Linked DNA regions of Drosophila melanogaster. The protein of the gene in region 1 interacts with the protein of each later gene in a pairwise test. Each region holds a gene or a part of one and is shown on either strand. Other genes may lie near its edges.

Region 1 (7,714 bases):
TGTACAAAACTAAACGGATGAAAGATCTTCAAGAGTTTCATTGCTTGCAAACCAAACATAACACTTTTCTATGGATAAGATTTTTGGGGAAGTTATATATTTACGACTAAGCAACAACCCACAACTATAAACTACTATTAAAGTAAACAACAACCGAGGAGCAAGCAAGTAAGGCAAAATTTATATTTTGTAAGGCGAGCCAAGTAGCGAAAAGAATTAAAAATCAAATTAATTCTGATAGGATCGGATCAGATCAGGTTAATGAGCCGCAGACTGGGACAGATATATATAGGGAGTTTAGAGAGCCAAATCACTAATTATACGAGAACCGAGTTAGTCTGAGAATTGAGAAATCGTGGCACATCATCCGAAGCATCACAGGATATTCAGGATATTCCGGGCAGCAGCAGAGGAATTAGGCGAGAGACAAAAAGAAACACGTGAAAACGGCTTCCATAGTTAATGTTATTTCCAAAAGCATAAATACACCACTCTAAACTAAACAACAAAAGCTTGCACACGCCCTTACCCCTAACCCCACCCTTATCCACTTGTTCTTTTGATCGTATTGTACATTTATAACAATCAATATTTGTTTATTTATTGCAAGGAAATCGAGAAAGATACGTGTATGCGATGTTGTTAATTTTAAGTAGTTGATAGCAAATTTGTTAAACTGAAGAGTAATGAAATAAATAAGAAAGGGAAAGGGAAGGGAAAATCAGAAAAAGAATTACAAAAATAAAACAAAATCATGCAAAATCAAAAATAAAAAATGTGTTTTCTTTGATCTGCCGTTTGAATTTGGCGCTCCCTTTCCGTTCTACAGAACTTCGTCGCTTAACAGATTGCTAGTAAGAACCTGTTAGTGCGAATATGTGCTGTTAAGCGCACAAATAATGAATGAAAGCAGCTTATGCTTACTAGACATCAGCGATTTGATACTCTATTTGGATGAATATTATGACATTAAGAAAAATGATTAGCACGATAAAGATTTAAATTAAATCGATTCTGAGAGATTAATCTATTGAAACCAATAGTTTTAATTTATAGACATACAAAATAATTATTCTATTTGCATGAACTACTATTTTAGGAGTAATGTAGCTTAGAAGTCATTACATTGGCTTTCAAACCAATTGATTACATTTAACTAATTATCTGTACGCTCCTCTGCAGTATTGATTACATATATGAACAAATGTACTCCGACATGTAGGGTAATAGCACTGCGCTGTTAGCTGCCTCTTTGAGGTTATGTCTCTCTGTCGACAAAAACAGCAAGTTGACGTGAAACAGAAACGCAGCAGTATTTACGCAACGCAACTGGTAAGGAGTCGCCGGGAATCCAGATCGCCTTGGCTGGAAGAAGCAGAAAACCATATTTAATTCGAATTCACACCTCATTTAGCAAAACCGAGTCCATGGCCACCGCCGCAGCTGTAGCAAAAGTCGGAAAATCAGTGCACCGCATTTTCGTGGGCAATCTACCGTGGACAGTGGGCCACCAGGAGTTGCGTGGCTACTTCCGCGAGTTCGGACGCGTGGTGTCCGCCAACGTGATCTTCGACAAGCGAACGGGGTGCTCGAAGGGCTACGGTTTCGTTAGCTTCAACAGTTTGACCGCGCTGGAGAAGATCGAGAACGAGCAGAAGCACATACTGGAGGGCAACTACCTAAACATACAGAAATCTTAGATTCCCCACTTTAATTGTCATTTAGTTTATAAGCTCAGCAGATTTTTTTTTTTTTTGACATGTCGGACAGCGATACGGACACCGTGGACGAGCTTTTCCACCTTGCCACCGAGCATGTGGCCAAGCAGTCAAACAGCATTGGTTCCGCGGACCTTTTAATATTTTACGGATACTACAAGCAGGCCACGAATGGCCCCTGCAAGGAGCAAAGTCCGGGTCTGCTTCAACTGCAGGCCAAGAGCAAGTGGCAGGCTTGGCGCAATCTGGGAACAATGTCCCAGTCCGCTGCCCGGCAGGCCTACGTCCAGAAGCTGCAGGAGCTTCAACCCAACTGGCGGTCCCGGCGCAACCCAGGCTGGGTCGTTCATTCCATTGAGTCGGTCCCACTGGAGGACCAACGTTTGGACAGTGAAAAGACCCTGTTTGACCACGTGAAGGAGAACAATCTAGACAGGCTGAGGGAACTGCTGCAGCCAAGTGACTTGGTTAAGCTGGACGAGCATGGCATGGCGCTCATCCACTGGGCTACCGATCGCAATGCCGTCGAAATCATACAGTTCCTGGTGCGGAGTGGGGCCAGTGTAAATCAGCGAGATGCGGAGCAACAGACTCCGCTGCACTACGCCGCCAGTTGTGGACACTTGGAGGCGCTCCAATGCCTGTTGGAGCTACACGCCAGCCTGGAGCTACGCGATTCAGATGGACAGACTTGTTACGACGTGGCTGACGATGAGCAGATCTGCCAGGTGCTTCAAACGGAACGGGAACGACTCGCTGGATCCGCGTCCTAATGTCAAAATCTTAAGTTGTTCGGTGCTCATTTGCTTTAAAAACAGCAAGGTGTTGTGAACCATTGTAAATCTCCGACAAGTCCCCTGTAAGTTCTTTGGAACTATAATAAACATACATACATAAATGTAATTTTGGAAGTACTTTCCTTTCGGATTTTTAGGAATCATTGAGATCGAAAAAACATAAAAAAGAAAGAGATGGATAACCTCTCTTTTTTTGTTCTGATCAAGCAGCCAGTTGAAAACACTGCAATGTACTTTTTACAAAGCTGCTACTGTAATCTGATAATCTATTCAATTCTTCAGATATCATTGAACGAAAGTTATCTGTGAAGATCATAATTGGGTTGTGCGTACTGACTAAGGAGTAAATCCAATGACACAATAATGCATTTATGTTACTAACTGATGTATTTATTGAAAATAATATAAGGGTTCTTTTGCAATGGCCGATCAACGCCTACTTCCACAGCTTCTTGATAGACATGTTCTTCTCCGAGTCCTTCTGCATCACCTTGGCCACAGCCATCTCGAAGTCCTCCTGGGTGACATGGACGCGTCGTTCGCGCAGCGCATACATGCCGGCCTCCGTGCAGACGCCCTTGACTTCCGCACCTGATGCGCCTGGCATTAGCTCGGCGATCTTGCGCAGATTAATGCCACGCGTGAGGTTCATCTTACGGGAGTGGATCTTCAAGATGTCCAGACGCGCCTCCTCGTTTGGTGGCGGGAACTCGATCTTGCGATCAATACGGCCGGGACGCAGCAGAGCGGGATCCAGGATGTCAATGCGATTGGTGGCCATGATCACCTTGATGTTCTTGGTGGCCTCAAAGCCGTCCAGCTGGTTAAGTAGCTCCAGCATAGTACGCTGCACCTCGGAATCGCCGCCGGAACCTGACTCAATACGCGACGAGCCAATGGAATCGATTTCGTCCATGAAAATAATTGATGGTGCATGTTCCCGGGCCATTACAAAGAGTTCTCGAACCATGCGCGAACCCTCGCCGATGAATTTCTGGACCAGCTCTGAGCCAGAGACGCGAATGAAGGTGCACTCGGTGTGATGGGCAACGGCCCTGGCCAGCAAAGTCTTTCCTGTACCTGGAGGTCCATAAAGGAGCACTCCCTTCGGCTGGGCAATACCCAAGGCATCAAACAGCTCTGGATGCTTTACGGGCAACTCAATCACCTCCTTGATCTCTTTAATCTGTTTGTCCAGGCCGCCAACCATTTCGTATGTGGAGTCAGGAACTTTTTCAACCATCATAAGCGAGACCAGCGGATCCACCTTATTGGGCAGAATCTTGTGCAGCGTATAGCTCTCATTGCGCAGGGCCACGCGGCAATTGGGGGTTACGTCGTTGATATCTATGTTTTTGTCCAGATCGACGACGAACTTGCCCTCGGGATGCACCTTGACCAGCACTTTCTTCTTGTCCATGGGCTTCACAACCTCGCCCACATAGCTACCCTGTTCCTGGAGCAGCTGCAGCTCCTCCCGCAGCATCCGAACTGCAAAAGACGTGCTAATTAGGATTGCTTTCTCAAATTTAAAGATTTTTTGATATTAAGACCAAGAACAAGTCTTATATGTTTTCTATATCCTACAGCTAACCAACTATGCACATTATCTACATATGTGTAACAGTAAATTTACCTTTAGCATTGAGCTCATTGCGCTGGGCCTGCAGTCGTCTCAAATTCTGGTGCTTCTCGGCCACCACCAGCTGCAGTTCCTCGATCTTTTGGATGTAGTAGGACCGGAATCCCTCGCCTTTATGGTAGGCCGACTCGATTTCCATCTGCGAAAACATGGAGCATTGGTTTTTCGCGGTGGAAGAGCTGGGGGAATCAAATGTACATACCCGATTCGTCACCGTCATCTTTCGTTTTCTGTTTACACTTTAATTTGTTATTATTTGTCGAACTGAAGGACCACAATGCAAGATGTCGAATTAATTCCTCTTTATTGTATGACTCTGCATTTGCTTTTCGAGATGACACATGCCGGTTATCGCACTGCATTCGGAATATCGATGCCATCGAGCAATCGGCATCGATAAAAACGCTAGGTGGTAAAAAACCTAGCTAAGGTTTTCGAATTAAATGTGTCCAGTAAACAATTAAAATTAAATATAACAAAACACGACCTTACTCGTAGGATTATACCCGTCGTAGAGTAAATGGAGTGTACTAGATACGTTGAAAAGTATGTAACAGGTAGAAGGAAGCGTGTCCGACCATATAAAGTTTATATATTCTTGATCAGGATCAATAGCCGAGTCGATTTGGCCCTGTTCGTCTGTCCGTCCGCATAAACTTCAAGATCTTAGGAAGTTTAAAAGCTAGAAGGTTGAGATTAAGCATACAGATTCTGGAGACAGCGCTAGTTTGTTGACCCAAACCACCCAAAACTGCCACGCCCACTTTTTTAAAAAATGTCTTAATATTTTATTTTTATATTAGTCTTGTAAATTTCTTTCGACATGCCAAAACCGATACATTTTTTCAATTTATTTACCAATTTCTAGACAGAAAAATGATGATATTTCTCTGAGTAACGGTTATCTGATAGTCGGGGAACTCGACTATAGGTTTCTCTCTGATTCGTGGTAAAATACATTGTGTTCTCTCTTGTTTTTGCGTAGCACCAGCGATTTTTAAGTAATGAACTTGAATTAGCCTAATACCGCTGCTAATGAAAAAAATGTAATGTATTTCTAATTAATTGTGAATACTTAATGTGACAAATTCTAAGCTTGAAGGTGTTCAATATTATCTATGAAAATTTCAAAACATTGGGCATGTAAATGCGTAGTCTGAAATAGTCATCAAAATGTGCTTTGAGAACAAAGTACTGGTATGTTTTAAGGCAAAATAAGAATATTTTCAAAATCCCCTGCCGAAAATCAAACTTCTCACACTCAAACCATCCGTTTTGTGCGGGAGTGCAGACCCGCCAACCAATTTCTGTCGTTTGTTAAATTTATATTTTAAATTGTAAAATGCCGGCCAGCAAGGGTCTTCTTTTCAAGCGCTACATCCGCATCGAGTTAAATCTGTGGCGGCGGACGCTCTTCGAGATCGTCGCCCTAGTGATAATGGTCCTAGTGATCTTTCTCAACCCCATCGCTCACTCCAAAAGGCTTCTATACACGACCACCGAGAACGAAAACGAGCAGAGCATCGTGTCCCACAAACTGCAGGACATAAATATATTGACGTAAGTGCATAGTATTCACCTACAACCTTTTGAATGTAGCGCCATCCAAAGGCGCAACTTAATGCTCCTACCTATTTATATGGTTTTGTTACCTTCCGCAGACGCATGGCAGACTCGAAGCGGGAGAAAACCAAGTACATCCTGGCCTTCACGCCGGAAACGACGTTTACATCGGAGGTGACCAAGAATGTGGCCAAAACGCTGGAACTGAGCTCAACCGTGGGCTACGAGAGCGAGTCCGAAATGCAAAATCAGTTCGATGAGCGGACTACCCTGGCGGGCATTGTTTTCAATGATCTGCGCGATGACGGCACTCCTTTGACTCTGTCCATCTCGATTCGGTTTCCCAGCGAGTTCCGCACGATCGCTCCGTTCCTCACCGAGGATCGCCTGTGGATAACCCGCTGTTCGGGTCGCATTAATCCCGGACGGGATCGGGCCAAGCACGATAAGCAGCAGGATATATATATTCGCGAGGGGTTTCTGCAGCTGCAGCACCAGATCTTTGTGGAATGGTACCACCAATTGCGCAAGGACATAGTTAGCACCTATCCAGAACCCAATGTCGAGGTCTACAACATCCTGCTGAAGGCCGCCGACGAGCCGTGCTCCGTGATGAGTGTCGCCCAGCTGCCCACATTCCTTTATAATTTTATATACCTACTGCCCTTTTTGAATATCATCAGAGTAAGTACACCATCTACACCACCTAACCAACATGAGATATAAGGACGCTTTCTGGCCCAATTCTCAGAACGTCGCTGCCCAGGTGGAGGATGGGGTGATGGTGCATCAGTGGCACTACGGCTACTCCTTTGGCATGCAGTGGGGCATTAAGTTTTTGGTGCTTTTTCTCAGAATGTGCATTTTAGGTGTCATATATACCATCATGTTGTTGGTGAGTTTTTGCCACTTGACCATACCTGCTCAATTTAACAAATAAATATATTTAGGCCTTTTGGGGCTTTGGAGGTCGAGAAGGGGAGTTCTCCGGCACTGGGACGATAGCCTTTGTCTGCTTCATCACACTGTACACCGTGGAGATCATTATCACCGGCATGGTGGTGGCCAAACTGTTTGCCAACCCCACGAATGCGGTCCTTTTCGCCTTAATGCTCTGGCTGTTCATGTACGCGGCATTCTGCATTATCCTGGAACGCTACTGGGACATCCACAAGTACTATGTGTTCTTCATCCTGGTGGCTTTCTGCAACTGCCAGATGCACTTCAGCATGAGCTTGTTCAGAAACTGCATCGAGAAACCGGAAATGGTGAACACCATTGATTTCGTCTTGATCTTCACATCGGCCATAAGTTCGGCCTTGATTTACTTCCTGATTCTCTTGGCGATTCAGTGGCGAATGCCGGGCACCTTCCTCAGTCGGCGGATAGTGAACAATAGGCCGCGGAAGCAGCAGGAATCGGACACCACCATTATGTACTTGGGCAGGGCTCCGAGCTTTCAAAACTTCGAATTCGGCGACGTGGGCAGTGTGGAGCTCATGCGATTGCGTCATGTCAGCACATCACATCGCGATTCGGAGCGAAAGATCCTCAAGAATATATCGATGCGAATCTATCGTGGCGAGGTGTTTGTGATCCTCGGCCACATTGGCTCCGGTAAACTTACGCTTCTGAGGATTTTGGCCGGCCTCAAGTTCCCACTACGTGGCAATGTATATATAATGGGCAATCCCTTTGAACCCAATGGTAAGTTGGTTGTTTTTGTGATTATACCCATTTCTCGTACGGTAAAAGTATATAAATTCTTGATCAGGATCAATAGCCAAGATAATCCGTTTGTCCGTCCGTATAGTTCCCTAACTATAAGAGCTAGAAAAGATTAGATTAAGATGGTATTAAGCATTTAGATTCTCTATTTGAAAAGAGCCGTCCGCTTCTGCATGCAATTTCGTGAGGATATCTTCAACATTCTTACACTTTCCCTTACGTTGAGTAAAGCGTATCCAATAGTCGTGGTATGCTGTAGCCGTTCT
Region 2 (7,870 bases), 5.6 Mb from region 1:
ATTTTAGTACCATACAATATATACACACGCGTATTCGAAGTATTCTCGAATAAATAGGTTTAAATAATTATTTAAAAAGCAAGCCAAACTAGTTTCATTCGAGGGCGGGCACTTACTCTTACTTTCCACGAAAACATATGTATTTTTGAAAACATTTTTTAAAGAATTTCCCAGCCAAAGATAAGCGATGACGTTTTTATCAGTATCTCTTGACACTTGTTGTCGCGCGTCTGGAAAGATTCAATGGAGGTGGAACTAGACGCCATGCCTCGGAATCATCTTGTTTGTTTACAAATTGTCTTGACGTCACCAAAAGCGCAGTGTCATGCTGAGTTGGGCATTCGAAATTATATGCAATTATATGCAGCACTGAAACAATCTGCTTGGTGTTTTCAAAATAATAAACCATATCTACATATATATCTATTTCAATATTTATTATGGCAGAGCAGCAGATTGGGATAGATCTTAATGAAGTTTCAAATGAAGTTAATTAATTTAGATGTCAAGAGATGGATGTAACAGTTGGTAGAACCACTTGGCAATAACTACAGACTCCGTGGGCTTACTATCTTCCGTCCACATGCCATCAGCGCACAAAATCCGTTGTTGTTAGCCAATTTGGGGGCATATCTCTTAGGGATTCGGCGGCCCCTTACGACGCAGAAAAGATCACTCGACAGGGGCGTGTTTTTCATACTTATATGTATTTATATATGGTATGCATTAGTGTCTAGCCCCAAAGCCGTATCTATACCTACCAATCCGGCACATTTCACCATTGCGTAGCCAGGCCGGCAGCGTGCCAATTTTTATTGTTGCGATAATTAGCACTCCGGCTGTGTTTTGATCGATCCGATCAATTAGCGAGCGGCCACCGAGCCCCTTCGGCTTCTACCGGCTTCTAGGGCTCTCCAGATAAATAAATGAGTCCACTTTTGACTGGGCACGTCTAGTATATATGCGTGTGCGTACACAGAAAAAAAAACCTGGTCAATATAAGATAGGCACGGCGTATATTGACAAAAATTGATGGCTTGTAGCCAAAACTTGATGATTGTACATATACATATGTATTTTAACATTTATATCAACAATGAGACATTTTTCTTTCTGTGCACCCTGATTAGATAGTCTACAGCGGAATAACAGATTTAGCCATATACAATGTTTGTTTTTTGCTTTTGAACTGGTCGTTCCTTTAATCACTTTTTTAGGCATTACTCACGGCCCGAAACAATCAACAATTACAGTACAATTATTATATACAGCCGTCTGAGCTCGGAAACAGAATGTGGGATTCCGGTTTGCAGTTGGGTACTTGGGTGCTTGGTTGCTTGGGTTCAATGTGCCACCCCGTGTCGAGTGTGTCCTCCTCAGACACGATTCGCAGGTTGACGGCACCAGGTTCTCACCTCTACTGATGCCCCTTTGACTAGAGTTCCTAAATCAGCTCGCCGCGCTCGTTCACCTTGATCACCCGGACGCGGGCATGCCGGTCGGCCAGCACCTGGTCGATATTCTTGCTGGTACTGATTCCAGAGCTAATGCTGCTATCGCCATCGCTGCCGGTGAACAGTCCCAGATTGTCCTTGATCAGATGGTCGACGGCACAGCCGTCGCACTGTAGGATCACCACGCCGCTGTAGTAGGCCTCTTCGCTGATGGTCTTCGTGTTGCGGGTGTTGCACAGCTTGCAGCGGTACACCAGCTCCATGCGGCGTTGCATGCGTCGGAAGCGCTTCAGTGTCGTCGGCGACAGAGAGCCATTCGCCTGGTTTCCGGACGTGGAGCCTCCCAGGTCAAACTGCTTGGCCGTGAAATGGCACGCATCGAGTATGGAGCGCGGTATGGAAAGCGGTGCTGGACGCGACGATTTTAGGTGCTGCTCGGCATCGTTGGTTAGCGGCACGGCGTCCACCGCTTGTTGCTGCTGGGTGGCGTTGAGGATCGCGTTTTGTCCATTCTGGCGCAAATAGTTGAGAGTTCGCGATGTGAAGATGTTGCGCAATGCGTTCATTTTATGTTGCTACTAAGCGGTGTTGCACATCCGCGTTGCTTTCTGCTCTTGCCGCCCGCTGCAGTGCGTCCTGAATTCTGGCGCCGCACGTGCTGAATGTGGGGTAGTTACTGCGTTTTGTTTTGCCCCAAATGGGGAAGAAAATGGTTAAGTGGAGCGATGAAAACAGCTGATGGCTATCGTTATCGGAGCAGTGCAGGCGGTTGGCCGCTTAAATTCAGTTCTCACATTTTGGCTATTTTGTATCCAGGTTCAGTAATTTGTCTCTATTGGCAGAAGTTTATGTAGTATGAGTTGAAGACTCGTTACAGCATTTCAAAAAGCAAATAACAGAATTTCAACTACCAAATTTGTAGTATAAATACCAAGCAATAATGAAAATTCATAGCTTAGAAATAACTAACGGCCGAAGAACCGAGTTCACCACTGAGTGCCTATCGGATTCGATAATCACAACAAAAGGCAATCGGAGGCCGGCTACTATATTATATAGCCACCAGATACGATTCGTTACCAAACCGATCTCAACTCCCAGAAATGGGCCACTAATTGCTGCTGGAGCATAAATCAAAAGCCATGAACTTTGCACGCCTGAGATTCGGGCAGATGGTCCTTGGAGGACTTCGAATTCCGCGCCAGCAGACGCAGACGCAGTGGATGATGGACCGCCGCCGATGGTTGGCCAGTGAAGCCACCTCATCGGCTGCGGCGCCAGCTCAAGCAGCTTCTGTACCTAGAACTCAAACGCAACCGCGGGTAAAGCCATTGCCGCTAGCCGAGGAGCGCTTGGAGTCGATACTATCGCCCATTCGCACCAGGATCATTCGAAAGAAGCGCTTGGCCATCGATGAACTGTCCGCTTTGGGGTTTCTCAACACCCGTGGTTATACGACCGCCGAGGAGTACAATCTGGAGGATCTGCAGATAGCCCTCCGCGAACAGAACCTGTACGAGACGAAGCGTTTCTTCTCCACAGACAATCTGGACGTGGAGCAGAATGTGCTCTTTGTGGCGGCCAAATATCCGACGGGTCAGCAGCCGCGGGAGATATTCTTCTTCCGCGAGGGCTCGGTGGTCTTTTGGAACTGCAGCGACATCGAGACGAACAATGTGCTAAGTTTCCTGCGCGCCTTCGAAAGGGAATCGTATGTGAGTGCCCTGGTTCACGGGGAGAGCGAGGTGATGCCCTACACCTACATTCCATCGACGGCGGTGGATGTGGAGGGCGATCTGGTGGCGGAGAGCAGCGACTTCAATGTCACGTCACGGGCATTCTTCCAGAATGGCAAGTTCTTTGTTACCGCCGATACGGATAGTTTCCTGTATAAGTACACCTTCTCCAATGCGATGGCACAGTCAATAAAGCTGGGCATGTGGGAGGCGACACTGGACCGCTACATAGACTCCATAGAGCATCTCACCGAGGATCTAAAGCGTGGTCGCCGATTAAGAATCTCGCGGGCGGCCATGCTGCGAAAAACCGGTGAATTATTTGCCCTGCGTCATGTGATCAACCTGTCGTCGGATCTGCTGGATGCACCCGATTTCTACTGGGACCGCGAGGAACTGGAGGCACTCTACCTGCAGGTGTGCTCCTACTTCAGCATCTCACGGCGCACCAAGGTGATGAACGAGAAGATCAACCACTGCGTGGAACTGGCCGAGCTGGTGTCCCACAATCTGAACGATGCCCATCATATCCGGCTCGAGTGGATGATCATAATCCTGATCATGGTAGAGGTGGGCTTCGAAGTGCTGCACTTCGTCAGCGATCACAGTGATTCGCATAAGCTAGAGGTCCTGCCACTGGCTGCTCCTGCCGCCTCGATTCCCAATTAGCAAGTAGGCTTGGTCGATAGTTTTTTGTACTATATTTGTATTTTGACGAAATATAGAATTGTTAGCGTTCCAAAAGTTTGTTTGATCTGTGCTCTATTTTTTTTTTGTCCTTTTTAATTTGTTGTTGCCCGTTAAAAACACCAAACATTACGATTTTAAAATTCTCACTAGATCCAATTTAAAAAAATGGCTAGATTAATCGACAGCACTAAAGCAGACGAAGTGTCATTTCTTTTCCTCTGTCGAAAAATGCTATAGATCTACATCGAGAATATTATAATTTTATTGTATGTGTATTTGTATTTTGCTGAAATATAGAATTATTAGCATTCCAAAAAGTTGTTTCTTGTGTTTTCATTTTGTTTTTGTTTTCCTTATTTAATTTGATGTAGACCGTTAAAACACCAAAAATAACGATTTTAAAAATCTCGATAGATTGAACAAATTAATCGACAGCACTAGAACAGAAGAAGTGTTGTTTGTTGTCCTCTTCCGAAAAATGGTATAGATCTACGTTGAGGACGAAAAGGATGGCCAACGCTGTGGTGGTGTTGGACAACGGAGCGCATACGGCGAAAGTGGGCCTGGCCAATCAGGATGAGCCCCATGTGGTGCCCAACTGCATCATGAAAGCAAAGAGCGAGCGGCGACGCGCTTTTGTGGGAAATCAGATAGATGAATGCCGGGACACATCGGCGCTCTATTACATTCTGGCGTTCCAGCGCGGCTACCTGCTCAACTGGCACACACAGAAAACGGTGTGGGATTACATATTCAGCAAGGACGGCATTGGTTGTTCGCTGGAGAACCGCAATATTGTCATCACTGAGCCGCAGATGAACTTCCAGAGCATCCAGGAGGCAACGCTGGAGATTCTGTTTGAGGAGTACAAGGTTGATGGGGTGTACAAGACCACTGCTGCCGATCTGGCTGCCTTTAACTATGTGGCTGACAGCGAGGAGCGGACTACAATGGAATCGCTTAACTGCATCATCATCGATGTAGGCTACAGTTTCACCCACGTTGTTCCTTTTGTGCTGGGACGGCGCGTTCTCCAAGGCATACGACGCATCGACATGGGCGGGAAGGCGCTGACCAACCAGCTAAAGGAGCTAATCTCTTATCGCCACCTAAACGTCATGGACGAGAGTCATGTAGTTAACCAGATCAAGGAAGATGTCTGCTTTGTGGCGGAGGACTTCAAGCAGGCGATGCAGGTGCATTATTCGGAGGAGAAGCGACGCGAAGTCACAGTTGATTATGTCCTTCCAGACTTCACCACCGTCAAACGGGGCTATGTTCGTGTTCCCGGAAAGCCGCGCGAGGATGAGGAGCAACAGCAAATGGTGTCGCTGTGCAATGAACGTTTCACCGTGCCCGAGCTGCTCTTCAATCCCTCGGACATTGGTGTGCAACAGGTGGGCATTCCGGAAGCGGTGGCCGATTGTCTGAAGGCTTGCCCCTGGGAAGCGCACCGCGAACTCCTGCTCAACATCCTTATTGTGGGCGGCAGTGCCCAGTTTCCGGGATTTCTGCCGCGCCTAAAGCGCGATTTACGTGCCCTGGTGCCCGACGATCTTGAAGTGTCACTCATCTGTCCCGAGGATCCGGTGCGGTACGCGTGGTACGGCGGCAAGGAGGTTGCGACCAGCCCCAACTTTGAAGAGTTTGTTTACACGCAAGACGACTACGAGGAGTACGGTTTCCAGGGTATCAATCAGCGGTAACATGCACGTAGTCGAAGTATTTTTTCAATAATAAACTTGATTTGCACATGGGTTTTCTAGAACATTCCTTGTCTATATATTGAACTAGGGCTAAAGAGGACAAACTGCCAGCCTGCGGCAAGGAAGCGGGTGCGTCACTTACCTAGCGCTACAACTAAAATTTAACTATAGAACACAACTTAATATTTAGAATTCGTTTGCGAAGTAAAATTTACAAAGGATGCGGTGCTTTTGCCAACAACGTAATGAGATACAAGGTCGGGCCGCGTACTGCATTTAACTTAGTTAATTTAGGTCTGTCTGCGAGGCGGGTGCCGGCGGATCTCCTCCGGATCTCCATCGGTTTACATGCTGAACGATTCGCCGCAGCCGCATGTGCCCTTAATGTTCGGATTGTTAAACACGAACTCGCTGGACAGCTTCGATTCCACAAAGTCCATCTCGGTACCTGCAAGCGAATTATACTCTGTATTAGCTGGCTTGTCCAATGCTATGCTAAGCTGGTATGAACTTACCCAGCAGCGACAACTGCGCTTTCTTGTCGATGAAGACCTTGACGCCATCCTGGACCACCTCCTCATCCAACTTGTCTGCTGGCAAAAATCGACACAGAACGCAGCATTAGATCTCCACCGAACAACATTCTGTCCAGAGTGGCTTACCTTTTTGGCTGGCATAGTCCAGCGTGTAGGACAGACCATTGCATCCTCGCTGCCGTACGCCCACCTTTAGGCCAACCTGTGGCAGAAACAACATCGAATTTCTGTCATTAACTGTGTGGCTAATTTATAGGCAGCCTTGTTTATTGACCAAAGACAAAGAACTCGGTATTCTAATAAGTCTGTCTCAATTCAAAGAATTTAATCACTTAAAAACTAAATGATTAACAACAAGATAAACATGCTCATCAAAATTTGGTCGGGTCAAAATTTGGAAAATCTAGCTGATTAACGCAGGCCGAATTAGTTAGCATGGCTTATATTTATAGCTAATAATTTGCGCTAAAATATATGACTGACTGAGGAAAAAGCCTATTGTCAAATATAATGCTTGAAGAAGCCCTCTTGCGAACTTCCTATACTCCATGCAACCAGTGCTAAAACTTAAATAACATGCACGGGAACCTTTAAAGAGCTAGGCGAGATTATCAAGATCTCAATCGTGGAAGGCGATAGAATGCCCACTAAAGTGTAGCCTTGGTTCGATGACAACTTGTCAGCAGTCACTCACCATGTCCGGCTTGTCCTGCAGAAGCGTCTTGATGCGTAGCACCGCCGCGGGTGTCTGAAAAGGATTGGGGGAGATCAGAATCATCAGATCGAAGGGGACTGTTACTTCATCAGCAGCAGCATGCGCCGATTTCACCAGGTTTTGGTTTCCTTACCAGAGTCAGAGCGGCCCGCGTCGGGATTAACTTCCGGCCTTTCACCGCCCGCACTGTCGCCGTTGCCACCACACGTGTCGCCATCGGTTCGTGCCCTTTATATAATTTGTTTGACTCGAGAATTTCCACAAAAAAAATTCGAAAATATGAGTGCTTACTACCAGATGGTCGATAGTACTGTCGATAGTATCACGTGAGATGGCATTAACAGATGTCATCGATTGGCAGTGTCACGGGATAGCGGAGAAACGGTTACTACCTGTTTGAAAAATAAGTTATTTTTAAGCCCCAGAGTCCAGGTGGACTTCATTAATAACTTAACTTAATATTTCACAGTAGAATTTATATTAACAATTGGTTTTAATGTCTGTGAGTTACAGCAAATTTTATCAGCACCAGTGACAGCTATAGTAACTTTTTAAAATCGTGACTCGCGACTAGTTTTGAAATGAAAGGAGGTGCCATCTCTAAGTTTAAATGAATTTCACACTTTTCGATTGAGTTAAATAATATCAACAAAATCGAGGATATGTCCGCCCTAAAAAAATTTTATAAAATCAGCGCAGGTGTGAGAAGAGGCGCACTACTTACCAGTTCCCGAAGAACACAAATTGATGCTTTAAATAGTCCACAATTGCAGTTGCAAGTGCATCACTTTGCAACCAAAACACAAACAGCTGTTTTTAGCAGCAGCAACAACTACACGTGCATTTGCCGCAGTATACACTGCAGTAAGCCAGTGGTATGTTTGGAAATCAGTTGTAAATACAAATAAACTACCCAATTGATATTAAATAATGTTATTTACATTTGTAATTTAAAATATTATAAATGGAATGCAATATTTAAAATTATGTATAACAAAAAAGTTAAGTATAATTATTTTGCTCTGCTCCCAGG

The links. Proteins that work in one complex are often made in the same cells at the same time.
Region 2: the proteins of Rpt6 (region 1) and Arp6 interact in a two-hybrid assay, tested with the Drosophila melanogaster proteins (one large-scale study listed by BioGRID).

Annotation. Positions count from the first base shown.
Region 1 is NC_004354.4:21,312,841-21,320,554, reverse strand, and holds Rpt6 (regulatory particle triple-A ATPase 6), read right to left. Parts: upstream 4,504-7,714; 5' UTR 4,378-4,503; coding exon 4,360-4,377; intron 4,297-4,359; coding exon 4,152-4,296; intron 4,007-4,151; coding exon 2,952-4,006; 3' UTR 2,892-2,951; downstream 1-2,891. Other genes in the region: SLIRP1 (SRA stem-loop interacting RNA binding protein 1), read left to right, coding at 1,428-1,700; anox (anorexia), read left to right, coding at 1,760-2,491; CG1801 (uncharacterized protein), read left to right, coding at 5,500-5,717, 5,819-6,404, 6,472-6,615, 6,671-7,427.
Region 2 is NC_004354.4:15,733,553-15,741,422, reverse strand, and holds Arp6 (Actin-related protein 6), read left to right. Parts: upstream 1-4,302; 5' UTR 4,303-4,389; coding exon 4,390-5,586; 3' UTR 5,587-5,649; downstream 5,650-7,870. Other genes in the region: CG8206 (uncharacterized protein), read right to left, coding at 1,445-2,020; CG11679 (uncharacterized protein), read left to right, coding at 2,597-3,859; MagR (magnetic receptor), read right to left, coding at 5,931-6,034, 6,102-6,179, 6,249-6,324, 6,817-6,870, 6,971-7,054; CG12379 (uncharacterized protein), read left to right, coding at 7,500-7,712, 7,870-7,870.